7 linked regions of the Canis lupus familiaris genome follow. The protein of the gene in region 6 interacts with the protein of the main gene of each other region in a pairwise test. Links are inferred from orthologs where the notes say so. Each region holds a gene or a part of one and is shown on either strand. Other genes may lie near its edges. The genes, in order: SCGB1A1, UBE2V1, PTCD2, PTPN11, UBQLN1, TRIM32 and CLIP4.

Region 1 (3,936 bases), on a different chromosome or scaffold from region 6:
AGAGAGAGAGAGAGGCAGAGCCAGGCAGAGGGAGAAGCAGGTTCACTGCAGGGAGCCTGACGTGGGACTCGATCCCAGGTCTCCAGGATCACGCCCTGGGCCAAAGGTGGTGCTAAACCGCTGAGCCACCCAGGCTCCCCCCCACCCCCCATTTGTTCTTTCCGTTAGAGTTCTAGGCAGAGCACTGATGAAAGAAGTTGCTGATCTGATCTTTTACATAATGTGGGGTTTGGGAAGAGGCTACCGAGGGTTTCTGGTTGTTGTTCTGCCAGTAACATGCCTCTTACCAATGGTTAGTGATGGTCTGAGCCACTTGCCACGGGGGTGGGGAGGTGGCTGGTGCAGGGAAGCATGGGGCAGTCGGGCCACACAGAAAGAAGTACTTGCGTGGGCCAAGTGCAAGCCCCTGAGCTGGCCCAGAAGAGGCTTCCTCCATGAGCTCTGGGTCCCTGTGGTGCACTTACTCACCGGCCCACAAGCCTCTGTGTCCATGCCTGGCCCTACTATGTTCCCTCCGCCTGGAGTGCTCCCTGGATTGTGCTCCCCCTTTAGGCCCCTGCCCCAGGAACATGTGGGGCAGTCACTGGTTCCTATGCCTTGAGTCTCAGTCCCCATTCTGGAATTCTTTGCCATGTGTGCAAAGTTTCTGCTTCCCTGCCTTGGACTCCAGGGACCCCAAAGTGGCCACTCCAAGTCAGATGCCCTCCAGAACTTAGAGTCCTGCTTTGCAACTTACTATGTCACCTGGCAAAGTACTTTATCTTTATGTGGCTCCACTTTCTCATCTGTAAAATGGGAATAATATCCCAATTTCACAGGGTTATTGTTAAGAATGAAAAGGGGTTCAGAATAGTGATTGGCACATGGTCGGTGCTGAATAAATGGGAGATATTATTATTGTTATTATTACCTGTGTGCACAGACAAGTATACACATGCATCCCAGATCCACCCCCTAACATATTTCAGCCCCACCTTGCTGAGCTGCCTGCTCTATGCACAGCCCTGAGATCTAATTAATGTACAATTGGCCTTTGAACAACATGGGATTGAACTGCCTGGGGCCCCTTACATGTGAATTTTTTTTCAATAGGTGTGTTGGAAATCTTTTTTGAGGGGATCCCTGAGTGGCTTAGCGGTTTAGCGCCTGCCTTTGGCCCAGGGTGCGATCCTGATCCTGGAGTCCCTAGATCAAGTCCCACGTCGGGCTCCCTGCAGGGAGCCTGCTTCTCTCTCCTCCTGTGTCTCTGCCTCTCTTTCTCTCTTTATGTCTATCATAAATAAATAAATCTTAAAAAAAAACTAAATACCCCAAAGAGTATTTAAAAAAAAAAAAAGGAAATCTTTTTTGAGATTTGCGACAATTTGGAAAGACGAATGAAATGGATAGCCTAGAAAAAATGAAAAAAAATTAAGAAAAAGTTGGGTATTATTGTCAGAACACAGTATATAATACATATAACATACAAAATATGTGTTAATCAGCGATTTATATTATTGGTAAGGTTTCTGGTCAAGAGCAGGCTAGGAGTAGTTAAAAGTCAAAAGTTATAGGCAGATTTTTGAATGTGTGGGGGGCAGTCAGCACGCTGAAGCCCTATGCTGTTCAGGGGTCAACTGTACATGTCAGTCCAAAATGATGTTATTTCCCCTTAAAGACAAATATCTCTGAACAATACTTGTCCCCAGTGCATCTTGGTTTCGGTTTTCCAACTCTCCTGCCACCAACCCCCAGGGTCATCAGACCTACTGCCATAGATGTCATGAAACTTTCAAAGTGGATTAATTGAAATTGGCTAAAAAAACAAAAAACAAAACCCCAAAAACCTTTTTGTTTGTGTTTGTTTATTAAAAGCAGTAGAAGAGGCTGATACAGAGTAAAAACCAATTCCCAAAAGATCACGGGGTTGAGAGAGGTGGGATCCCCCTTGCTCTCTCTCTCTCTCTCTCTCCCCCCTTTTCCTCCTTCTCTCTCTCTCTCCCTCTCTTTCTCTCTTCCTCCTTCTCTCCCTCTCTCTCCCTCCCTCCCTCTCCCTCATTCCTTCCCTCATAGTGACAGCTGCAACTATTCAGAGACTCCTAATCTTTTTGGCAGAGGACGAAAATGTTTAGAAAACTCTACTCTGGTTTGGCAGTTTCCCAAAGGGAAGATCCCTTTCTAGAATATTCCTCTAAGCCCAGAATGGAAGATCTTGCCTTAGCTTGGATTTCTTTTGGAGACATGAGGCTCTGTAGCTCCTTCTAGCCCCTTTGGCTGCCAGAGTGGTGTGCAGACCCCAAATGTGAAGGCAGCACTGTACCGAGGTCTCTTGGCATCTTGGGCTCTCACCAGGACTGGGCTCTGAGGAGCTCATTATTATGCCTACGGGAATCTCCATACGGGATCTCCTCCTTTCCAGCCTCTAGTCTGTTTTGACCCTGTCATTCTTGAGTTGTTGGCTATGGAAGATGGGATCCCTTCCAGGTTTCCTCCCCGGCTCAGTGTGCTCCCCAAGTATCCGAGATAGGCCTGTTCGCAGACCCGGCTTCTTGGCTGGAAGTCAGCATTCCAGCTAAACAGCTGTCCCCTGTCCTAAGCAGAACCAGGGAGGGTGCAGGAAGGGTTCCTGAGCCTGGCCTGGGGGAGGGGTCTCTGGGAACTCACCAGGGCTGCAGTAGAGAGCCAGGGTGACCAGGGCAAGGATGACAGCGAGCTTCATGATGGGCAGGAGGCTGGCAAGGAGGCTGGCGAAGGAGGCCCTGGCCTGTCTCTGGACCCGGTGGTCTTGTGTGAGACATGCTCATTGAGGTGCCTTCTTAAATGCTCCAGGCTGTACCTGGAGGGAGGGAAAGGGGTGGGGCCTGGGCTCCATGGATGGGACCACACTATTTACTTGGGTATCAGCTTGGTGGGAAAGGTAAATATTCTCTTTTCTCAACCCGGTGGCTTTCCTCATTGGAACTGACCTCACATAAATGAGGCACTTGGACAGCAGGAAACCCGGAGTGCCAAGTGGAAGCCACAAGAGGACCTAGGTCAGAGGGTGTGGAGGCCCGGCTACCTGTGCCACACTCACTGAACCTGAGCCCTGAGCAGTCCAGGCAATTGCAGAGTCCACCCAGACCTATCACCCCAGGAGAAACTGAGGCCTGAGGCCCCTTACACACGGCTTGGGACTCCTGATGCTCCACTGGGCTCCTCCCACTGCAGCTGGAGGGTCATGTGGACCAGAGCATCCATCTCTGTGGTCAGGCTTCAGGGCGACCCTGGACAGAAACACGCAGACAGATAAAGCCTTGCTCTGGAAAGCCCCCGAGAAACCCAAGCCTCAGATCAGACTGGAGAATGTGTTGCCTCAGGCTGAGTCTGTGTCCGCCTGAAGCTGCTCTCATGTCTTATCCTCCTGATGGCCAAATCCATGGGCACTTTAGGCCTTATCTCACCTGCCCTCTTCATGGCTTTGACCTTTTTGACCTTTTGTTTCTTGAACTGTTCTCTCTCCTGCACTCCCACGGCCCTGTTCTTTCCTGATTTCCTCCATGATCATCCTGGTTCTTCAAATGTTTGCTTTTTACTGACTGTGGTTACCTGTGAACGGTTCCAGACTTTGGTTGCAGCCCCTTTTGCCCTCCAGAGGCCACACCTACAGCTGCTCCCTTCTTTCTCCAGTGCATGTGACTTAGGACACAGGCCTGGGCTGGCCAGACCCAACTCCGAACAGCTTCCCGTCCCTAGCTTGCCCTCCTTGGCCATCTGCAGGAAGGCCAGCTGAATGATCTTTCTAAAACCTGCTGATCATGTCAATTCTCCTTCTTAAAACCCTTTGAAATCATCCTCTTTGCCAACAGCGTAAAATTCAAGTGTGATCTACAAGGTCCTTGTCCACTGGCCTTTGCTTATCATTTGAGCCTCTTTCCCCGCTTCCCCACATAGTGATTTGACTCTGTCTTAGTATGT
Region 2 (3,500 bases), on a different chromosome or scaffold from region 6:
GTAGCCACTCACTAAGCAAGCCCCCTGTGGAAAGAGTTAAACTGAAACGCAGGGTAACCTAAGGTGTTGTAGGTAGAACAGAATATTTTCAATGGAATTTGGTGGCTCATTTGTTTAAGTGTATAATTCAGTGGTATTTAGTGTATTCGCAATGTTGTACACTGGTCCATTCTTAATTTGTTAGAACCTGAAAATCAGTCCGCTAATGAACAAATCTATTGAACAACTGCCCCATTCCGAGTCATTTCCAGGTGCTCTGGAGAGCAAGGAGGAGGGAAGAATAGTTTTCACCCTCAAGAAACCTAACCATTCTTAGGAAAAGAAGAAATGCAGTGAAGGAAGCCATCACCATACAGTGGGCTTTCAGAAACAGCAAGAAATGATCTCCATGAAGAAACGAGTTTTCTATATCAGGTTTTCTTCAGTATTTAATAGATTTATAAATCCTAGTTTTCAGAGATTTTTTAAAAAGATAAAGAAATGAGTAAAAAACAGTAAATTGAATATATATATTTTTAAACCCAAAAAACAAAACCACAGGGTTAAAGATGACTCAAGAAGCAACGTTAAATAGCAAAGCCAGTCATTCACTGTGTGTATTTACGATAGTCCAAGATGAACGGTAGATTGTCCTAACACCTAATGAACATGACCCTCTTCCTTGTTTCAGCCAGGGCCACATCCTATGTCTTTCTCCTTCCCACAGAGTTGGTGCAGAGCCTGTGCACACAGTGAAAAGAATGACTGGCTGCCACCATCTTTGAGCACACACAGGAAAGGTCCTGTTACATTCAGACGGAATCTCCCATGGTCTGAAACAAGTGTCACATTATGAGAATCTATTTCTTCACTCCTACCTCATATTACTACTTAACACTCTGGAAAATTCTATAATGGGAACACATGAAAACTCAAAATCTAAACAGACAGGAGATAATGGAGCATAGGGTTAAGAGTACAGGGTCTAGACTCAGAACCCCTTTGGGAATTATCAGCTATGTGACTTTGGGCAAGTAATTTTACTTCTCTGTTTTGTCACCTGTAAAATTGGATGTGACAACACAATAGTAGCTCTTAACAACAGGTTCTTGTGAGAATTCAATGACATTTCTTGGAGGTTTTACTATGTACACTAAAAAGTTAGCTGGTACTACAAAGCCTGGGAACTCTCACAAATCACAAAGCTCTAAAAGAGAGGTCAATTTTCTCATCCCTGTTGTCTCTGTCTTCTTTGCAAAGGCCTCTGGGTCTCATAGTGCCTGGAAGAGACCAGAGCCAACCAGGCAGGCAATAAGCCTTTGCTGAATGGCCTGATGAATTAGGACATGAGTGTGTGGCAGACCTGGGAAACTGTAAATGAAAACCACAACCATGAAGGCGTTCCAAAGTTTGTTTGGATGCTGTCTTCGGAACGCTGGCTACTGTATCTGGGGCCTTGTTATTTGATAAGCCCAAGAGTCTGTTCTAAACTAGCCGTGAGGGTGTAATGACCTCACACCTCCCTGTCTACATGTTATGTAAATTCACACTATGAGTCTAAACAGGTTTTTGCTTACCATGAGAGGGATTAAACAGCATCAGAGGAGGTTCAAATATATAAACTGAAACTGGTCAAAAAAGAATAGCCACATTTCAGAAAATATACCATTGGTGAGCTTTTTCCGTGATAAGGCTAATATTTCTTAAAAGGAGGCACAGTGAATTTAAGACATTGACATTTATAGCCGTAGCTCGACGCTTACTCTTGGAGGCCCAATTATCATCCCTGTCCATCTTGTAAGTGTCATGTCTTCGTCATCTTCTAGACCCCAGCTAACTGTGCCATCTCCTACTCCTTTCTGGCCTTCTTCCAGTTCTTCCAACAGTCGAAAATTGCGAGGGACTTTTACTCCTAAAATAAATGGAAAGAAATTCAAGATACTAGCAACTCCAGGGGAACCTGTAAGCCTGGATCTAGCTGCTCATTATTACTACGTGGAAATAAAGATGCTAACATGCAAAAAATGGCTCAAAGTTGTCATCCCTCCAACTTGCTTACAGAGCTTCTAGTACCGACCAGCACACCCACACGGAAGGGGCACGTGGTTTTGTTTCAGGTGATGTGACCACTGAACCAAGCCTAGAAGGACCACCACCACCCCCCGGCCCCGCAGCTTTGATAAATTTCAAGAGTTTACATGTCAAAATGTTGATCAGTTTGGGTCCAGAACAGATGAAAACCACCAAAATCGGTATCATGAGGATTAAGTGCCTCAGGAGAGAAGAGGCTACTGCTTTTGTTTCATTCTTATTACACATTTCTGAGGTTAAGGGTGTGTGTGCATTTTGTTGGAATGACACTCAAACTACCTCAGGAGGAACAGCCGCCAGGGCTGCATAAAATAAAAATGGTGTCCTTTTGATCAGCTAAGAGTCAACTGAAGGCACCAAGGATAAAATTTTCAACTATTCAAAACAGTTTCTCTCTTATGAAAAAGCCAAAGGAGGGTGGCTGGTTCCCTGATTTACTTGTTTCTGAAATTCCAAAGCCTGGCAAGTAGCTCACGGAAGGAATCACACAAACACATCTCATAGGTTCAAGCTACTATACCTGAGTTCAGATTGAGGCTTGAGCCATTTCTGGGTGTTTTCCAGAACAGAGCCGAGGCATTGGGGCCAGGTAGGGGACGAGGCTGTGGGAGGGCAGGGAGAGCAATTTTCTTCCTGTGCTTGGGCACCAAGTAACTCTCCCAGGGATGCTCTCCCAACCAATCCTGCCTGCCTCTCCCCTCCTCCCACCTCCCTCCCTGGCATTTGAACTATTACCTCTGGGGGAAAAAACCCCTCAGATTCAGACAAGTTACAAGCTCTCTCTTGCCTTCAATGCTGAGCCCCCAACTGGCCAAACTCCATGAAGCGAGCAGCACTTACCACGTAACCGTGGAGGAAAACCCACTGGAGAGACTCCAGACTGGGAGGTGTTCCCAGTATACCTTGTGTTTTCTAAGGTGGGACTCCCGCTACTATTCATTCAACTGGAGTAAATACCCGAGAATCCACTATAGGTCAGGCACTTTCCTAGGCAATGGGGAATAAGCAGTGAACAAAACAAAAATGCCTGTCCTCATGGAGCTTACCTTCTAGTGGGAAACATAAAATGACAAAACAAAAATACGAACTATATATATATAGGAGGACAGCTGTTGGGAGTTCTGGAGCAGGGAGTAATGGGGGAAGAGCTACAACATTAAATGGAGTGATCACAGAAAGCCTTACTGAGACCAGATGTCATGACTAAGACCTCACATGAAGGAGCATGACCTATGCACAGCTCAGGGGGGTCTTCCAATGAAGAAACAGCAAATGCTAAGACCCTTGGGTAAGACTTTGCCTGGGATGTCAAAGAACAGCAAGATCCTAATTCAGCTAAAACTGAGTCAGTGAGATGGAAGAGCAGTGGGTCGTTAAGGACTCCAACTACTACTGACCTGAGAAGCCACTGGAGTTCTGAACAGAGGAGT
Region 3 (4,258 bases), on a different chromosome or scaffold from region 6:
TCATAGCTTCCGAATGACTATGACAACTAGATCTAACTAGAAAAATGACGTGAACCCTTGATTCTATCAACTTCACAAAGCTCCAAAAGACTAGGAGTAAAAAAGAAGACTGAAGTAAAATCCAGACTGAGTCTCCCTATGCTGCAGACTTGTATCTCCTCCTTCACTTTCTGAGGATTATCTTGTCATTTCACAGGTGGTCTAATGGAGCAAGGGATTAGTGGGGAGTCAGGAAAGATTTCTGGAGGGCTACGGGCAATAAGTGTTTATTAGGTGCTCATAAGCATTTGACAGTGAGAGGAAGGAGATTTGAAAAGGCCAGTTGGGACAAACTAAATTTATTTCAAGAGAGAGAGTCTTGCTATGTTCATAAAGAAATTAAAGTACTGGAAAAAATGTGAAGGAGAGAGGGAATGAACTCATCAATATTTCTCAGATGCTGAAAGGAATTAAGACCTAGCGTGGTGGTGTGTTTTCAGCTATTTGTAATAAAAATGTTCAAACATATCCAAAAATAGAGAGAGGACATTATGCTCTCATGTGTCTATCACTGAGGCTCAACAATGACTAATATTTTGATAATCTAAAAAAAAATGTTTTTAGCCTATTGACTTTTTCAGCAGAGTAGAAAAATATGAAAATGCATCATAGGGGGCACCTGGGTAACTTGGTTCAGCTTCCAACTCTTGATTTCTGGTAAGGTCAGGATCTCAGGGTCACTGGATCAAGCGAGCCCTGTGTCAGGCTCCACACTCAGCAAGGAACTCACTTGAGGTTCTCTCTCTCCCTCTATCTCTCTCTCTCCCCCACCCTCACTCCCTCTCAAATATTAAAAAAATGCATCACACACTGGACAGTGTTGTTCCACTATATTTCACTAGTATATAGACACGTAGTATATACTGGAGATACTATGTAAAACGTACCTTTGACTCAGAGGTGCATCAAAAATGTGAAAGCTAATCATATTGAGCAGTTCTCAGGATTATTAACAGTCTGAGACTTCAAGTTTGGCATTTCTAGGAAACTCCCAGTCGCTGCTGATCCCTGACCCTGAGTTTGGGTGGCATGGATCTAGAGAGGACTGGTTCCAACACTAATTTTAGCATTTCTTTAGGATCCTGGGAAAAGTGGCAAAAGGAGAGCTGTAGAGTCTGCAGTAGTAGAAAGTGAGATGAAAAGCACATTGAGGGACGCCTGGTGGCCCAGCGGTTGAGCGTCTGCCTTTGGCTCAGGTTGTGACCCCGGGGTCCCGGGATCAAGTCCCATGCTTTCTCCCTCTGCCTGTGTCTCTGCCTCTCTCTGTGTGTCTCTCATGAATAAATAAAATCTTTAAAAGGGGGGAAAAAAAGCACACTGAAGGGTAGACTATGAAATGAAGAATAAACCCTGTCAATTTTTTCTCAGACACAAGTCCCTATTCACCGAAAGACACTGAATAGGGACTAAGACAGAAAAAAACTTGAAGTACACATCACCAAAACAACTAACAAAACAGATTCAGTTACCTTTGGTTCCAGGAAGATGAGATGCAATAGCCACCTTCTTATGCTGAAATTCTTTTAACTTCACAGTATTATCCGTAAGTAGGTATCTTTTAGCTAAAAAATTAAAGAAAAAAAGTAAAACCATTTTTTTTGTGGTCTCACACTCCACGAACAGGAGTAGAACTTGACTCCCTTTCTGATCTTCAGTCAATACGAATATTCCCACTGGACAGCTACCAATAGGGTCGCGCGGGTGGGAAAGTGTGCATCTCTAGGCTACCGGAGAATTCCGATTCTCAGCAAGGTGCGTTTGTGCCTAAGAAAGGAGCTACTGATTTACTGTATGGAGATGGGTGGAGAGGAACCTGGGAGGTGAAACATAAATGTACATTCCCCGTCTAGTTATGGGATCGCAAGGGGCTAAAAAAAATTAAAAAATAAAATAAATTAAAAAACAAACAAACCAAACCCACCACGAAAGGTCACGGCTTAAATGTCAAACCGGCATATCTCGTTTTGGTTTATCCGGGCTGGCGGAAGCAAAGCCCACCGCGGAGTGTGACCCCCCCCCCGCCCCCGCCCCGCCCCCGCCCCCGCCCTCCTGGTTCTGCCCAGTAGGGAAGTGAGGAGCTACAGCCCCTCGGAACAGGCCGGTCGGCATCCTCAATCCTCAAGGGGTCTCGGAAGTCGCCGACCGCAGCTCTAAGTAGAAGAGATACATTGTTTCTTTAGGAGGCTCCGCCCCGCCCACTTAGAGACCCCCTCCCGCAGGGCTGTAACCGGCTCACGGCGGGAAGCCTGGAGGCAGCCGGGACACTGCCGCTCCAGCGCCAACTATTACCCCCTCCCCTCGCCGGCACATTCACGTTTTTTCCATAAAGCTTAGTAAACAGGGGCAATTTTACAAACGAAGAGAGCTGACCGCGCGAGGTCCTTCGGATATGAGCGGCAGCAGGGCCGGGGTCCCGAGCTCGCAGTCGAAGGCCTCGACTCCCAGACCCGGCGGGGGGTGGGGCTTCCCGGCAACGGCGGCCACGACGGCGCCCAGGTCGAGGCCCCCGCCCGGCCGCCCCCGGCCCGCCAAGCACACGGGGGGCGACGGGGGCGCGGCTCCAGCCCACCAGCCACGGCTGCGGAGGCGCCCGTCTCTCTTCCCTCCCGTCCCCACAAGAGTCCGGGGATACCTCCGAGCGGGCAGCGGCAGCCCGCGGAGCCGGAGCCTACCGCCCCGGGAAGCACCGAGCCGCGCAGCGCCCGCAGCAGCCCGCGCTCGGGCAGCCGAGCCACGGCCGCCATGCTGTCCGGGCCGCGCCAACTACGGGAGCCGCGAGGGGGCGGGGCGTCGGCGCGTGACCACACCCCTTCCTGCGCGGCCGCCGGGGGAGGGGCAGGGGGAGGGACTCGCTCCAAGATGGCGGCGCCCATAGTGTGGCGCGGCTTCCTTCTGGCCCGGAACGTGCCTCTGCCTTCGCGCTCCCTGGCAGGTGGGTGGCAGGTGCCCCCTTTAGTAGGCACCTTGAGACTCTTCCTTTAAGCGACGGGAAGCTGCGGGCTCTCGACAGCGCGGGAAGTTCTTCCGGGATCTCGTGGCTGGAGCGTTGGGTGACGCGGGGGAGGAAGGGAGGCCTCGGGCCCGTCCCCTTACCTGTGAGGTGTGCGCAGTGAGGCCGTGGCGCCCGCGCTCTTGCAGGTGACCTGCAGGGCTTTGCATCAGGGCGGCCATCTCTTCGCTGCCCGCCGCAGAGCTAGGACGTGCCCCCCTCCCCGCTTCGGGGCCTTGGGGGGTGGCCTAGGGTGACGCCTTACCTCCGCAGACTTGGGGAGACCTTCGGGCTCCGCGTAGGATAAGCGTTTCAGAACTGATTTCCCACTACGTGGTGGCCCGAGGCACAACCTTTCAGTGACCTTGCTCTGTATCCAGCCGACAGGTACCTATCTCTAAGGCGCAGGTGAACCTTAGACCTCTCAGCGGTTAAGGCAGGACCCCAGGCAGCTGAAAAGTTGTGCTGAAGTCTTTGTTTTTAAAAAGATTTAAAAAAAAATATTTATTCATGAAACAGGCAGAGGGAGAAGCAGGCTCCATGCAGGGAGCCCGATGTGGGACTCGATCCCAGGACCCCGGGGTCACGACCTGGGATGAAGGCAGATGCTCAACCACTGAGCCACCCAGGTGTCCCCTGTGTTTAAGTTTTGACCCCGCCACTCCACCCCAAAACTCAAGCCTCCTGTTGACCTTACCCACAAGTCCATCAACACATGTTTTATGTAGTTGTAGCCTATATTAGGAAGGGTTATCAAAACCTTATAGGGAATTACATTTATAAGACTGGATTGATTGGGGGGGAAATCTGTATAAGTGGACCCGTGCAATGTGGTATTATTCAAGGATCGACTGGGCTAAGATATTTGAGTAAAGGGCGCCTCACTCAAAAGGTTTTTAAACGGATCTGTTGACAGACGTCGGGGAAAAAAATGGACATTTATACAAGATAAATCGTGTACAGGATTATAGGACTAAAATGCAGTAATCACAACTGATGTTTCCAGCGCCTGTTATCTGCTCTTTCCAGCATACCTTCTCCAGCTCCTGTTAGAAACCAACACGTAGGGGCAGCCCAGATAGCTCAGTGATTGGGCGCCTGCCTTGGAGCCTGCTTTTCCCTCTGCCTGGGTCTCTGCCTCTCACTCTCTGTCTCTCATGAATAAATAAAATCTTAAAAAAAAAAAAAAAAGTACACTGTTCACAAGGCTTTAGGAACAGCTATTAAATA
Region 4 (3,500 bases), on a different chromosome or scaffold from region 6:
AGAAGAAGGTACTTCTTAATTCTACCACAAAATCAGGTAGTAAGTTCATACATGGAATTAAATGGAACTACACGTTATAGGATCTCATTTTTAAAAATGAATAAGCCAACCCATCTTTTTTTTTTTTTTTTTTTTTAATTTATGATAGTCACAGAGAGAGAGAGAGAGAGAGAGAGGCAGAGACACAGGCAGAGGGAGAAGCAGGCTCCATGCACCGGGAGCCCGATGGGGGACTCGATCCCGGGTCTCCAGGATAGCGCCCTGGGCCAAAGGCAGGTGCCAAACCGCTGCACCACCCAGGGATCCCCCAACCCATCTTTTTAAACTCTGAAGGCTCAGATCCCAAAGAGCAGTTAATGTGCTAATAAGGACAATATTGGCACATATTGGCACCAAAAAGTACTGGCTGAACGAATGAATGCATGCATTCATTTGAAGCACTCTTCAAATAGGATTATCAGTGACATCCAGTTTCGATATTCTATAAGACTTAAATTATCAAGGAATATGTTCTGCTTTTTTCTACCCCCTCCTGACCCTGGGGTGATAAAGCTTTTTTTTTTAAGATTTTACTGATTTAGGGTAGCTCTCTCTGAATGAATAAATAAGTAAATCTTTAAAAAAAAAAAAAGATTTTACTGATTTATTCATAGAGACACAGAGAGAGAGAGAGAGAGAGAGAGAGAGACAGGCAGAGGGAGAAGCAGGCTCCATGCAGAGAGCCCGACGTGGGACTCGATCCACGGTCTCCAGGATCACACCCTGGGCTGCAGGCGGCGCTAAACCGCTGCGCCACCAGGGCTGCCCGATAAAGCTATCTTTAAAGGAGTTCTTAAATCCAAATTACATCTTGAGATTTAGGGTCAGAGAGACTATATACGGTAATTCAGAAGATCTCAAGTGCTGTAAGGCTGGGGAAGTCCCTACTAAAGTTGCCAAAACAAGGATAAATACCAAAACTTCTGAATGAAATAAAGAGAGCTTTTCCCCTAGCTTTTCCAAACAAGATTATATGCTTCAAGATATTCCTGAATTTGTACCAATAGTGTGCTACATTCTCTTTGTATTTATTAGGAGGTCTTTCTATATGGGCAACTTCATGTTTTATTCCTGGCCCAAATTCAGTATAATTGGAAGACAAATAGAAAATAGCCTATAGCAACCATCTAAATATTTTGTAACAATTACGATAACACCAAATCAGATTTAAAGCACTGAAGGTCAAAACTGGTACCATGTTGATTATTTGACCTTATATTTCTATACGTACACCGTTGCTGAAGATGTTTTTGTACAACGAAAACAATCTAGTGTTTTGAATTTTTTATTAAAGATTGTATTTATTCATTCATGAGAGACATAGAGAGAGAGAGGACAGGCAGAGGGAGAAGCAGGCTCCATGCAGGGAGTCCGACGCAGAACTCGATCCTGGGTCTCCAGGATCATGCCCCAGGCTGAAGGCGGCACTAAACCGCTGAGCTACACAGGCTGCCCCTAGTGTTTTGGATTTTAAGATCTTATTTATTTGAGAGAGAGAATGCAAACGAGCAGAGAGAGGAGCAGAGGGAGACTCTGCACTGAACACGGAGCCCAGTGCCAGGCTCAATCTCACAACCCTGAGATCATGACCTGGGCTGAAATCGAGAGTCAGACACTTAACCGACTGAGCCACCCAGGCACCCCATAATCTAGTCTTTTTATGTGAACTGAGAACCTACTAAGCTGACAGATATCTTACTTTGGCTAATGAAGCTTTTGATAATGTGGCTGCTATTCTGCTAGGCTAGAAGTCTCTCAATTCGCTGGCAGGTGCCATTCTGAGAAGCCGGGTTCTCTGGAAGGCAATACACAGGGTAAAGTAGGCAGATATCACTGCTGTTTAGACATTCCCCTGTCTGCAGCAGAGCAGTTGGGGGTGGGGGGGTGGGGGGGAGATGCCCAGATCCCCAAAGGAGCAGTCTCCTCATTTCCCTCATCTCAGCGTATTCTTAATTAACTCAGCTTTGTGTCTGTTATGAATAGCTTCAAATGGAAATGCTCCAACTCCACATTCTTCTTCATTATGCATGGCTTATTAAAATTGAAATTTCACTGTTTCCAACTCAACCAAGTTTATGGTTCAAACTGCTATGTGCTATGAAGAGTGAAGCATTTGTTTAAGAGATGGGATCAGGATAAAGATGGCCTGGATCTAAACAGGAACAGGCTGGAAACTTCAAGGCTTTCATTTCCAAACTTGCCATGTGAGAATCCTGGGATGTTGTCTGGGAAAATCCTAACCTTTCCACGTGGCAGTTCCCCAATCTGCCAGGCCAGGATGATAGCAGCTATCTCCAAGCTACCCTCTGCTGAAATACCAGAGTTGTGAAGTGGGGAATAGTTTCCAGAGAGGCCCTTCCTGGTTGGGAATGAGTTTCTCATTCCTGAACAGTAACAGCTATCTCTTAGAGGCCCATCCTGCTCAAAAGCAGAGTGTATCAGAGCTGCCCAGAAAAGAAAGTACAAATATGCACACCAGCCCCCTCCAGGATTGGTACCTGCTCTTCCTCAATCCTGCGCTGTAGTGTTTCAATGTAATGCTGGACAGCCATATAAATGAATCGGTACTGTGCTTCTGTCTGGACCATCCCTGACCTCTGAGACCGCACCATCTGAATGGTTTTGGGAACATCAATGTCGCAGTCAACACCTGCAAAGCAAGCACCATGAAGCATTAGGAGAAACTGTGGGGCCAGGATGAAGTGGTTTAATGCACAACTTTTAGCAGACTCAGAGATATAGTAAATGTAGTCTTTTTTTTTTTTTTTTTTAATTTTTTTTTAAATGTAGTCTTTAATGTTCTAACTGAACATGTTTCAAGGGCTACACTGCCTTCTGACTAATACAAATGATTCCAGAAAATGATCTGATTAAGTATCGGAGGTCAGGACTCTCCATCAGCACCACCCCAGAGACCACCACTGCATATTCAACAAAAGACCACAGCAGCGGGACCACGGCTCCTGGGCTTCATTTTATGTCAAAGGCTCAAATAGAATCACTTTTGTTCTCCTATAAACAACTGAAAGTCAAAGTCTTCAGCCCAGATTTTTAAAAATGTTTTAACATTCAAATTCTCTCCTCCAGGCTATTTTCACTAGCACTTTCCTTCCATAAACTAAAAAAGAACTTACAACTTCTTGCCCTCCAGATGACCCACCTTTCTCTCTGATGATGTCAATAAGGATATCAATCACAATGAACGTCCCTGTCCGGCCAATCCCAGCACTGTGGACAGAAGGACAAAGAGCAATGACGCTGGAGCCATTCATAGGGGTTTTGGACTCAAACCCACACTATTAATATGAACAGAAACAATGTCTGCTCTTGAGAGTATTTATAAGACTGCCTGTTTGTATTTGAGAATAGATTAGCTAAGGGCTTTGGGGTTAGTCCAATCCACACGTGGAGCCCAGCTTCTCTAGGACTTCCCAAGGCAAATCCCATACCTCTTTGACCTT
Region 5 (4,180 bases), on a different chromosome or scaffold from region 6:
CTGACACACAGCAATTTCCCTTAACAAGAAAAGGCTCAAATCTATGCAATACTTGTTATATCTAAGTATACGAATATTCTAAAAGTTTCAAATGATAAAAATGTTTTCTAAGACTAGAATATATGTTGCCTGAATATTTCAGAGAACTAGATTTCAAAATCTTTTACTATAACCTAGAGCACTACAAAATCCCGGAACAAGCTAATTAGACACGTTACCTGGAAGCTCCCTTCTGCTCTCTGCACTAATTTTAATGAACGAATGACAACAGAAAGCACTTTTCAGAATAAAAATTCAAATGTCATCAGAATAAGTTGCTTCGGAAAAGCTTTAATTTAACCAATTTACTTTGGTTACAGAAAAGTAAAATTAAAACTCCCACAGGCTTTAAAATTCTAATGTCACTCTCACACACACAATATATATATAAATCCTAACAGACAGTACCTCATAAAATAACTTAAATGTACTTTTCTATTTATAAAATATTGACTCTTTCCAATCCTTTACAATAAAATGCTGAAAGCAGGCATGAAGGTGGAGACCTGAATTAGCAATCCTAGAAAGAAGATCTAAGGGCTTCAAAAGCTAATATACCTAGCAGAGCTAAAATGAAAAAGACTGACACTATCAAATGCTAGCAGGGATGTGGAGCAACAGGAACTCCCAAGAACCTTTGGTAGAACCTTTGGTGGAATACCGAATAGTATTCCATTGTAGGGGAATATATCACATTTTACTCTTTATTCATCAGCTAAGGGGTTGTTAATCATCTGGGTTGTTTCTTTTCGACCAGCCTTTAAAAAAGAGCGATAGAAGCTCTTTTTAAAAAGACAGTTTCTCATAACTAAGCCTACAACTACGCTATCACCCAGTCATTCCACTTCTAAGAATTTTAACAGGAAAAACTCCCTCTGTCCAACAAAAAAAGTTTGTATGTTCACAGCAACCAACTGCAAGAAGCCCATGTGGCCCTCAGCAGAATGCATTAATTAATGGCATATTCACACAGTGGAAAACACAGCAATAAACAGGAATTACTGGCATATACAAGAATGCATCTCAAAAACATTACACTGAGTGAAAAGACCTTACCCAACAGAATATATACTATATAATCCCACTTATGTGAAGTTCTAGAACAGGCAAAAACTAATGGTGAAAAAAATCAAAACAGTGATGTATGGAGGGGAGTGATTGAACTGTAAAGTTCTACATCTTGATAAAACTTTGGATCATATAGGTGTATTTGTTGAAAACATTTAATGATACTTGCAACTTACTCTAAAATGCATTCAAAAAGTAAAAGGAAGTAATACATGATTAGTTGCGTGATAAAGCAAATAAAACAAAGCGTCAATTGTAGGTGACGAACTATGAATGTTCACTGTACCATTCTTTCAACTCTGCTAGATGTTAGAAAATATTAAAATGTTAAGAGAAATTTTTATACAATTGGGGACCCCCCCACACACACACACACACAAAAGGTGATTCAGTAGGTGGTAAAAGTTTCTCAGTTGATGGTACACTCTACTTACTGCTCTACTCTATTTACACCACTATTTCCTGCTCTACTCTACACCACCTTTCAGAACGATTATGTAAACCAATATCCCATTTACAGTTTATGAGAAAACTTACATGTACATTTCACATTGTTGTTCCCTCAAACTGTTCCCATTTTAGATCGTCAGAGGTCAACAACTATGCAAAATATTTTCAACAATAAGCTACAACAAATTTGTTGAATTCTTCAAGATTCTTAATTGAACAGCAAAGTTTGTACACCCGAACCCAATTTTAAGCAGTAAATTATCTGGCAATATTCTCCATTAACTCCAATTTTGTTCTCTTGCATTCGACTGCCACCGCTAATATCTGCAAAACGTGGCTACCATCCCTCTAAAATCAAACAAAAACCTTCCCGATGACTGGCACCTAAGGGATGATAAACACTAAAAAGAAAACCGCAAGTCATCAATGAAAGTCATCCACCTTTCTTCCTTAAGGCTAGTACTATTAAGATGTGGCTGAAAACGATTTCTACGTCATGGTTAATTTTTTTTTTTTTTTGAAGATTAGAAGGTAGAAAAGATTTCAGCAATCAAAACGCAGAACTAAATGTACACGTGCTCCTCGCCCCAAAATCGACCTTAAGCTGCAAGCAGGTGAAACAATGGGCACCCACCCACCCTTTTTTTTTTTTTTAACTCAGGAGACAAAACCGCAGAGGAGGCTACCGCGAACCCTCGCCCAGCCCGGCCTCCACCCCGCCCGGAGCGCGGCGGTGGTCCCTTTCCTTTGTGAGCAGCGGGAGGGAGGCGGCGGGGGGCGGGGGGCGGGGGGCGGGGGGCGGGGGCTGGGGCGGGGGCTGGTGGTCCGCGGACGCGGGAGCGGGGGGAGGGGGCGGCGTCGGCGCGTCCCACAGCAGGCCGCGGGGCCCCGCCACAAGCCTCTGCGGTGTCCCAAGGAGCACACCCGGCAACTTGGGTGTGATCTGATTCGGGGCGAGACCCGCGAGGCGGGCCGACAGCACCTCGGGGGACGGTCTCCTCCCGCCGCGGGCGGAGGTCCCGCCGCCACCCCCACCCGGGCCCGCGGCCAGGGCGGCCCTCACCTGCTGCACGGAGCTGTTCTCGGGCACGGCGAACTCCTCCTTCTCCTTCGGGGTCTTCACGGTGACTTTCATGATCTTGGGCTCCGCGGACGCAGCGGCCGCGGGGGCGCCTGCACCTTCGGCCGCGGCGGCGCCGTCCTGGGAGCTCGGAGGGCCGCCGCTTTCACCACTCTCGGCCATGGCGGCGGCGGCGGTGACTCAGGCGCGCAGGAGGGAGCGGGCGAGCGAGGGGGAGCCAGCAGACGGCAGAGCCGGCCGGCCCGGGCAGCGGAGAACGCGGGGCACGCCGCCTCAGTGACAACCGGTGCGGGGCCGCCCTGGCAGGCGAGGGGCCGCGGGGCTCGGCGCGGGCTCCGGCGCAGGCCCGGGCTGGGCGCTCGGCAGCCGCCGTGAGTTCAGACGCCGCTCGGTCGCAGCGACATCCGCAGCCGCCGCCGCTCTTCCTCCTCCCCGCCCCTCCCCCCACGTCCCTCGGCCGGCGCCGCGCAGGGCACGCCGGGTAAGTCGGCTGGCGGCGTCGCCGAGTCATGCCCGGCCAGCCCCGCTTCCAGCCCCGGCCGCCTTTCTTTCCCTGTCCCGGCTCCATGGCCCAGAGGGTAGGCGCAGCCGGAGAGGAGAGCTAAAAGCAAAATGGGGCGGGAGGGATCAGTTCATTTCATTTCATCCCCTTGGCTAAAAAACAAATTAGCGTGTTCTGGGAAGCACGGTAACGGCGCGCGGTGATGACCTCACGCCTAGCGAAGTTACTAGAAAGGAGCTCGACCACTGGGCGACGCGGACGCGCCTGCGCGCTGTGGTTCGGCGGCGGCCCCCGCCCCCTGCGGACCCCGCGGCGGCCGTGCCCGGCCCCTCCGCGCCGTAGCGCTCGCCTCGCCTTTGCGCGCACCCGGGACCCCGGGGAGGGCAGTGGGAGTGCCGGGTGTCGCGGTAACAGCCGTCCGCTTGCCCACTTGTGGCCTTTGAGATGCTTGCCCGTACTGCCCGGTGCGCGGGAGGTGGAAGCTACGTTAATGGAGGAAGGCGCTTCGTCGTAACGAAGGAAGAGTGGGCCGTAGCCACCCTGCGCGATCCCGCGGAGTCACTGCCCCGCGGCCCGGGCGGCCCGCCCTCGGGTCAGCCGGTTGGGTCTGGCGATCAGGCCACCTCTGCTGACAGGCCGCCGCCCCCCGCCCGGACAGCCTGCGCGAGCGCCCCGGATTCTCTGGACGCTGCCCCGCAAAGTACGGGGGCAGAAACGGGGGCCCAAGGGCTGCCCCCCCCCCCCACCTGGGGCGCTTGAATGAAGCCGAGGTGTTCGTTTTACATTCTGTCAAGTTATTCCTGCAGTTCAGATTTTAGGTTCAAAAATCCTTTTTAGTAGAGTGTGGGTATAAATAATTTAATTATCTCCCCCCCCCCTAGAACTCGGGCTTTGAAATGACGTCATTTGCCTTTAAAGATGACTTGCAAGGAATATAGAACCCAGGACATTAGCTTTATTAATCAGTATTGCGCAAATGGAAACCCAGACAGCCCACAGTGACCCAAATACGCAAAGACACGTTCTGTATTTGTGTTTTT
Region 6 (2,631 bases):
TGCTACCACCAAAAAAACAAAACAATTTTGAGTAGCCCAGCTTAGCAAATCTGGTTTCTTTAAAAAGCAGGGTGATGGCTCTTTGGCTTGCCATCAGCCCTGCATCTACAGAGCAAAACTCTGTTGCTCAGTAAAAACCGAGCCTGAGGATCCTTGTCACAAATTCCCTCACCCCCTTCTGGTCTTTTTTTTTTTTCAAAAGACAAGGCTTCTTCCTTTTTTGAACTCTAATGACAAAGATATAAAATGGCGGAGGCTCAATTTCTAACAGGACGTTGGTGACTCTGTAGACCTTGGGGGGTGATTCTGTACACGTGTGTGTCGGAGTAAACTTTGGAATTCTTTACCTAATGGTGCCTTAGGCTGAATTTTGATTGGGGGTAGGTCCTTAATGGTCTCAAAGACTGCAGTGTCAGATACGGAGGCGAAACAGCCTGGTACAACTTATCCCTCTCATCTCCCAAATCCCATATTTAATTAAAAGACATGAACACCAGCGATGAAGAAACAGTTATCAATTATTTAATTCTTGATGGAGAAATGGAAATAAATCTCAAAACCAAGTATTAGGCAGTCACTTGAGGAAAATACAGAATAAAGACCGAACAGTTCTAATGAAAATGAGATGTGTCCACCTCCCCACTTGGTGGACCCTGGCCTGTGTTGCGCAGTTCTGCAGACAACTCTTGGCAGAGGCCAGTGGAGAGAGGTAATATGAAAAACGATGAGCTCTAGAAACTATCCAAGAGTATTAACTGACTAGGTTATAGCATTTGTTTTCGTTTATTCGCATCGTTCTGTGCTTTGAAATAATTCCAATCTATACGCTGCTGGAAAAGGCAAGCACTTTCCAGGCTAAAGTCTTCAACATCAACCAACTAGGGTCAATCCATTCTCTGTCACATCTGCAATTAGAGACCGATCCAAGATGGCACAAAACCCCCAGAACCAAGACGGACTGCTTCCCAAAAGGACTGCAGGTCTCCCTTGATGGCACTGAATGAATGAGCTTCCACTCTGATAAAGGTGACGAGAGACCGGCGACATCATGCCACAGGGATATGATGTCTAAAACGAAAGGCGGAGCAGATCCCACTGGAGCTTGCACACTAAATGCAGCAGAATCGAAGAGAAAGTGTCACGTATGAAGTGCATTATAGTAAGAGGGAAATACGAGACCAGGGTTAGCCAAGCCAAAAGAGGGAAATCAACAAGGATTCAGTACAAGGGCAAATTCCAAACACGGGGGCAAAAGGCTCTCTACTGAAGCCTCAGAAGTGCCTAAGTTCTAATCAAACTTCAGCTAACCCCATATCAGATGTCCTGTTTGGGGAAATACATCTGTTCAAACTCTAAATTTAGGAGGGAAATAATGCAAAACAACAGCAACAACAACAAAAAAAAACCCACCCACTAAAAGACAGCTTCTAAAATTCTAGGACTAGCCAGCGGGAATAAAGACACAGGCCCAGTGCACTCTACAGTATCACTAATAACCGAGGGATAAGGGGAAGGAGGCTGGCTGGGAAGCAGAAGAAATTGTTCTCTCTTATCCCCTAAGGGGTAGAGTATCTTCTCAGATGGTAGCTGTAAATCTTGATGCAGTGATCCCAACAGTCCAAGACCAGGAGCTGCCCTTTAGGAGTGAGGGCGATGCCCACCGGACACGTGAGCCCCTCTCGAATGAGGACGCTATAGCCCCCACCCTTGGGAAAGTGGAGAATTTCCTTTCGACTACTGTCAGCCACGATGAGGTCACCACGAGCATCCACACACATGCCGGCGATGCAGCGGAAATCCTCATTCTCTGAGAAGAAGTGGCTGATCTGGCGACCCAGCTGGCCATCGGGGCCCACGGAGCCGATGGAGAAGCCGCCCTCCAGGTGGTGCTCATTCTGCCGATTCTCCAGATTGAGGCCCAAGCCCTGGGTGAAGTAGACGGTGCCCTCCGCGTCACAGGTGACAAACTTGGGCCGCACGGCGCTACAGAGGCAGCTGTATTTGACCACCCCTGCTCCTCGGTCAACGGTGAAGCACCAGAGCTTTCCGCCCTCCACGTCAGTTACCACAAACTGGCCGGACGGAAGGGCCGTGATGCCCCAGGGTTTGCTCAGCTGGCTCCTGTGACAGGCCACGCAGTGGCCATCCAGGGTATACACCTTGAGGGAGTTGTCATAGCTGTCGGTTACACCGATCAGTCCTTGGCAGTTCATGGCCACTGAGAGAGGAGTGAGATTGGGCAGATCGGCGCCAAGGAAGCTCAGCACGAAGCTGTCGATGCCACTAGGGCTGCGGCGGATCTCCTTCAAAAAGCCTTTCCGAGTAAAGACTTGTATACGGTAGTTGCCCCGGTCAGCAACCAGCACCTCGCCTTGACTGGTCACGTAGAGACTGACCGGAAGGTTGAACATGCCTGGAGTGCTGCCCTTGGCCCCCATCTTCTTGAGGAAGAGGCACTGCTGCATATTGGCGGCTGGCTCGGCACCCCGCTGCTTAGCAGGTGAGGCCCGGGGGCTGGCAGCCACTTCCTCGGGGCTCATGTCCATCTCTCTGAACGTAACGGAGGTAGAGGCAGCAGAGGCTGCAGCCTCCATGGCCCAGGAATCTTCCATGTTGACTGTCCGGGGCTTT
Region 7 (3,500 bases), on a different chromosome or scaffold from region 6:
TAAACATGACTTTGGTTATAAAATGCTGTGTGGTGCATCTGTGTACACTTAGATTAGAGAGCTACCAGGTTAAATTAAAAGAGAGATGAAAAGAAAACATCACAGTGTAGACAGCTTGGTAAAAATGTTTAAAGTGGTTGTCAGCTCTCAAATCATTCGGTGAATAGAACACGAATAGAACATTGAAGAGTATTCCTGTTTGCCTTCAGGTTGGCTCAAAACATTTTAACACTACCTTTTTGTTATCTTAAAACAAATTAAGAGACTTCTTAAGTGTAAATCAGGTTAGATTCTGCTAAGCCATCTAAAGTGGGAGGTGAGAGAGAAAGTGGGTAGAACAGGGAAGTCGTCGGTTTCTGTTGGCAATGGGTGCTACTCTCCTGCGTGAGAGTGTCCTCCTCCAACGCGAATCCTTACAGTACAATTGCTTGGGATATAAAATCTTGTCTGTATGAATTACGGCACAGTTGGATGAAACCAGGCACTTAAGTCAACACTAGATAATCCACAATGGAGAAAGCTAACTGGATGAGCTTCAGAGGGTTTTACCTGGAAAGCCATCTTGTTGGTTCACTTCTTGTTTTCCAACCTTTGATATGTTCTTTTCCTTTACCTTGTTTTAGTTACTCTGCTTGGATCCATCAGCAGCTCCTCCTCCACATCATCTTTGGAACACAAACCAGGCTACACCAAGAAACTGAATGCACGTAACAATCACAAGAAGACAATGAGCAAAAGCCCGTCTGTCTCATCTAGAGCCAGTGCTGGTATCTATGGCTTTTTCAACCAGGCTTTCTTGGTGTTTTTTATCTTGGTTTGTTTGTAAGTAGATTTGATCTTTTTAAATGTGTAGAAGGAACCTTTTACTTCAGTCAGATTGAACTACTTGCCCTCTTCTGTCTTTCCCTTGCCCCCCTCCCCCGTCCCCCCTATTCCCCACTGCCCCCCATGAGCGTCCTTGGTCTCCCTGCCTTCCTCCCAGTGCTCCTGCCATGTTCCTTGTCTGGACTCCCCTCTTCCCTTCCACATGCTTGTAATGCCTCTGACCCTTTAAGGTGCATTTTAGAATTTTATGGTAGATACTTAGATGTGTGGAAACCATGTGGTTATTACCTTTCTTATCTCTTTTCTAATCTAGACCTAATAATAACTAACATGTATTGTATACTTATTATTTCAGGTTCTATTCTAAGCACTTTATAGACCTTATTTCACTTAACTCTCAAAACAAACCTATGGGTAGGTACTATTACTATCATCCTCATTTTATGAATGAGGAAACCGAGGCTTAGGGAGGTAAGTCATTGGTGCCTGATGCCAGTTTCCAAGTGGCACAGCTGGGCTTCACCCTGAGGTCTGTCTGCTGCTTTCTCTGCTGCTGGTATGGTTTTGCCTCCATCCCAAGCACTTTCTGCTCTTCTTCTTGCTCCCGGGTCTCCAGACCCCTCAGGGCCAGCCTGTAGAGAGCCAAACTGATGCCCGTGGCACAATTACGGTGTAAGGCTGTTCCTGCAGGGTGGTGACCACACTGTGGACCCGGCCCACATGGAGCCTCATGCCAGCGCTCTTCATGTTGCTGCTTCACATAGGACTTTACACACATTCTCACTTAGTTTAACACTCGAGGCTCTATCCCTCTGCATTTTGTTTCTTACATCTTGCATATTAGCTTTTCCACATATTTTTGTATCATCTTCATATTTAAAGTTCAAGTCTTTGTTTAAAACTAAATAGGAGAGGGTCAGTGGCTCTCCTGACAGCTTGATGACGGTAACCTGTTTGGATGTGGCTTTTTAATTCATTCTGAGTCCTGCATAACCTTATTCAGTCCCCCTTTCTCCAGTTATGTGTAAGGATATAGGAAATGCTTCATAGCAGGCATCTTGCCACAATCAACATACATGGAGTACATTGCATTCACTTATTTACCTATGTAGCAGATGTGTCCAGAAAAGAAGTGAAACCATTTTGACATAAATTGTTTTCAATGAACCTCATAATAGTTACCAGGTTCTCTTTCAAATACTTTTAACAGTTGTATTGAAGTAATATTTTATTATAGAAAATGTTCCGATGGGATTATTTTCTCTTTAAAATACATACTGTACAGTGATGGGGAGGAACCCTCAGCAATAGCATTGACATGCCAAACCCACAGGTTGGGAGACTCTAAAAGTAGAGAACCTAGAAGCTTTGCCTCAAACTGTTTACTTAGAACTTGTATTCTGAGTAGATGCTCTTTCCTTAACAAGCATTTTCAGGCCTGAGAAACAGAGTTGTGAGGACTGTGACGTAGCACTCCTGCTTATCCTCATTTTATTCATGTTGCAAGGCCTCCTTCACTTGGCTTTTGACATTTATTTGATTTTAAAATGTGTATGTGGGTGTGGAAGTACATTTTTTTTTTTTTTTACTTTTTTATAAGAAGTAGTTTTTAGTGTACCTACATATTTAACTTTTTTCCTTTTTCACAAATTTAGGCCTGATGTAGGCTTAGATAGTAGTAGGTGAAGAGACCTGTCAGTTAGAGTGAGAAAGCAGACCTCTTAGGAGGGGAAGGAGAGAGAATGGGAGATCCCTGAGAGAAAGTCCATGTCTGGGGCCTCAAAGATGTTTCCCTGGGACACTTTTCTAGAGTGAGTAGATACTTCATTTTCTCATAGGTTTGCATTTGAGGGATGCAGACATATTGGGAGGTTAGGATGAAGAGCAGAAGGAAAAGGTTAGAGGTGTGGCAGAGGTAGAAGAGGAGGTCTGTTTTCTCAGCATTGCTGTATCCTGTGATGTTGAATGTGTTGCCCTTGGTCCATTGCATAGCCTGGGAACATGCCTCAGGACTTGTGGCCTGAGGGCCCAGGCTTTAATCCTGGTGTACTGTCAACTGCCTGTGAGCACCATGCCTTAATTAATTTCTGAGTATGTATCTTCTCTATAGTTAGAATTCTATGGAAAGCACTTTGTAAACTGTGAAGTGCTATGGAAATATTAGCTATTATGAGGACCTGGGAGTTTTAGTATAGCACTTTATCCAGACATTCTTCTCTCTGGGTTTATGTTCCTCATTTGTTGCCATGGCTAAAGCCACCTCCCTTTGGTGGTGTCTTATCCTCTGTCCCCTGCCCCCACAGAGGCTTCTTTAGGCCTTTCTAGATGATAACTGTTCAAGTCTGTTTATGGGTGGATGGAAGAAGCATGAAGGGGCCCACTCTTTCTCTGTTAGAATTGAACCATTTTCTAGACAGTATTTCTCTAGGACTTCTGATGTTTAAATGATTTCAGGGATTAGGCTTGAATCAAGGTGAGGGGGAGTGGTTTAGTTCCTAATAAGGAAATCAGTTTGAGCTCATTGGAAACTTAGAGCAGTTTTCACATTCAGATCACATTCCTGTATGTATAACTCACACTGAATCCCAGTGAACTACTCTAATTCTAGCATTTTAGTAGATAAGGATTGGTACATTACAGCCATGAGCCAAATCCAACCTGCCACCTATTCTTGT

The links.
Region 1: the proteins of TRIM32 (region 6) and SCGB1A1 interact in binary tests that used the Homo sapiens proteins (3 or more experiments, as listed by UniProt). The two-hybrid records come from large-scale screens. The link is inferred for Canis lupus familiaris from reciprocal best matches to the Homo sapiens genes TRIM32 and SCGB1A1.
Region 2: the proteins of TRIM32 (region 6) and UBE2V1 interact in binary tests that used the Homo sapiens proteins (3 or more experiments, as listed by UniProt). The link is inferred for Canis lupus familiaris from reciprocal best matches to the Homo sapiens genes TRIM32 and UBE2V1.
Region 3: the proteins of TRIM32 (region 6) and PTCD2 interact in binary tests that used the Homo sapiens proteins (3 or more experiments, as listed by UniProt). The two-hybrid records come from large-scale screens. The link is inferred for Canis lupus familiaris from reciprocal best matches to the Homo sapiens genes TRIM32 and PTCD2.
Region 4: the proteins of TRIM32 (region 6) and PTPN11 interact in binary tests that used the Homo sapiens proteins (3 or more experiments, as listed by UniProt). The link is inferred for Canis lupus familiaris from reciprocal best matches to the Homo sapiens genes TRIM32 and PTPN11.
Region 5: the proteins of TRIM32 (region 6) and UBQLN1 interact in binary tests that used the Homo sapiens proteins (3 or more experiments, as listed by UniProt). The two-hybrid records come from large-scale screens. The link is inferred for Canis lupus familiaris from reciprocal best matches to the Homo sapiens genes TRIM32 and UBQLN1.
Region 7: the proteins of TRIM32 (region 6) and CLIP4 interact in binary tests that used the Homo sapiens proteins (3 or more experiments, as listed by UniProt). The two-hybrid records come from large-scale screens. The link is inferred for Canis lupus familiaris from reciprocal best matches to the Homo sapiens genes TRIM32 and CLIP4.

Annotation. Positions count from the first base shown.
Region 1 is NC_049239.1:54,708,844-54,712,779, forward strand, and holds the start of SCGB1A1 (uteroglobin), read right to left. Parts: upstream 2,801-3,936; 5' UTR 2,699-2,800; coding exon 2,644-2,698; intron 1-2,643. UniProt on the Homo sapiens protein: Binds phosphatidylcholine, phosphatidylinositol, polychlorinated biphenyls (PCB) and weakly progesterone, potent inhibitor of phospholipase A2.
Region 2 is NC_049245.1:37,205,139-37,208,638, forward strand, and holds part of UBE2V1 (ubiquitin-conjugating enzyme E2 variant 1), read right to left. Parts: intron 1,892-3,500; coding exon 1,743-1,891; intron 1-1,742. UniProt on the Homo sapiens protein: Has no ubiquitin ligase activity on its own. The UBE2V1-UBE2N heterodimer catalyzes the synthesis of non-canonical poly-ubiquitin chains that are linked through Lys-63.
Region 3 is NC_049223.1:54,585,507-54,589,764, reverse strand, and holds the start of PTCD2 (pentatricopeptide repeat-containing protein 2, mitochondrial), read right to left. Parts: upstream 2,801-4,258; 5' UTR 2,784-2,800; coding exon 2,672-2,783; intron 1,602-2,671; coding exon 1,509-1,601; intron 1-1,508. Other genes in the region: MRPS27 (28S ribosomal protein S27, mitochondrial), read left to right, coding at 2,899-2,971. UniProt on the Homo sapiens protein: Involved in mitochondrial RNA maturation and mitochondrial respiratory chain function.
Region 4 is NC_049247.1:10,377,068-10,380,567, reverse strand, and holds part of PTPN11 (tyrosine-protein phosphatase non-receptor type 11), read right to left. Parts: intron 3,268-3,500; coding exon 3,200-3,267; intron 2,690-3,199; coding exon 2,538-2,689; intron 1-2,537. UniProt on the Homo sapiens protein: Acts downstream of various receptor and cytoplasmic protein tyrosine kinases to participate in the signal transduction from the cell surface to the nucleus. Positively regulates MAPK signal transduction pathway. Dephosphorylates GAB1, ARHGAP35 and EGFR.
Region 5 is NC_049222.1:76,346,940-76,351,119, reverse strand, and holds the start of UBQLN1 (ubiquilin-1), read right to left. Parts: upstream 2,801-4,180; coding exon 2,621-2,800; intron 1-2,620. UniProt on the Homo sapiens protein: Plays an important role in the regulation of different protein degradation mechanisms and pathways including ubiquitin-proteasome system (UPS), autophagy and endoplasmic reticulum-associated protein degradation (ERAD) pathway.
Region 6 is NC_049232.1:70,873,600-70,876,230, reverse strand, and holds the end of TRIM32 (E3 ubiquitin-protein ligase TRIM32), read right to left. Parts: coding exon 1,557-2,631; 3' UTR 501-1,556; downstream 1-500. UniProt on the Homo sapiens protein: E3 ubiquitin ligase that plays a role in various biological processes including neural stem cell differentiation, innate immunity, inflammatory resonse and autophagy.
Region 7 is NC_049238.1:23,011,028-23,014,527, forward strand, and holds part of CLIP4 (CAP-Gly domain-containing linker protein 4), read left to right. Parts: intron 1-623; coding exon 624-767; intron 768-3,500.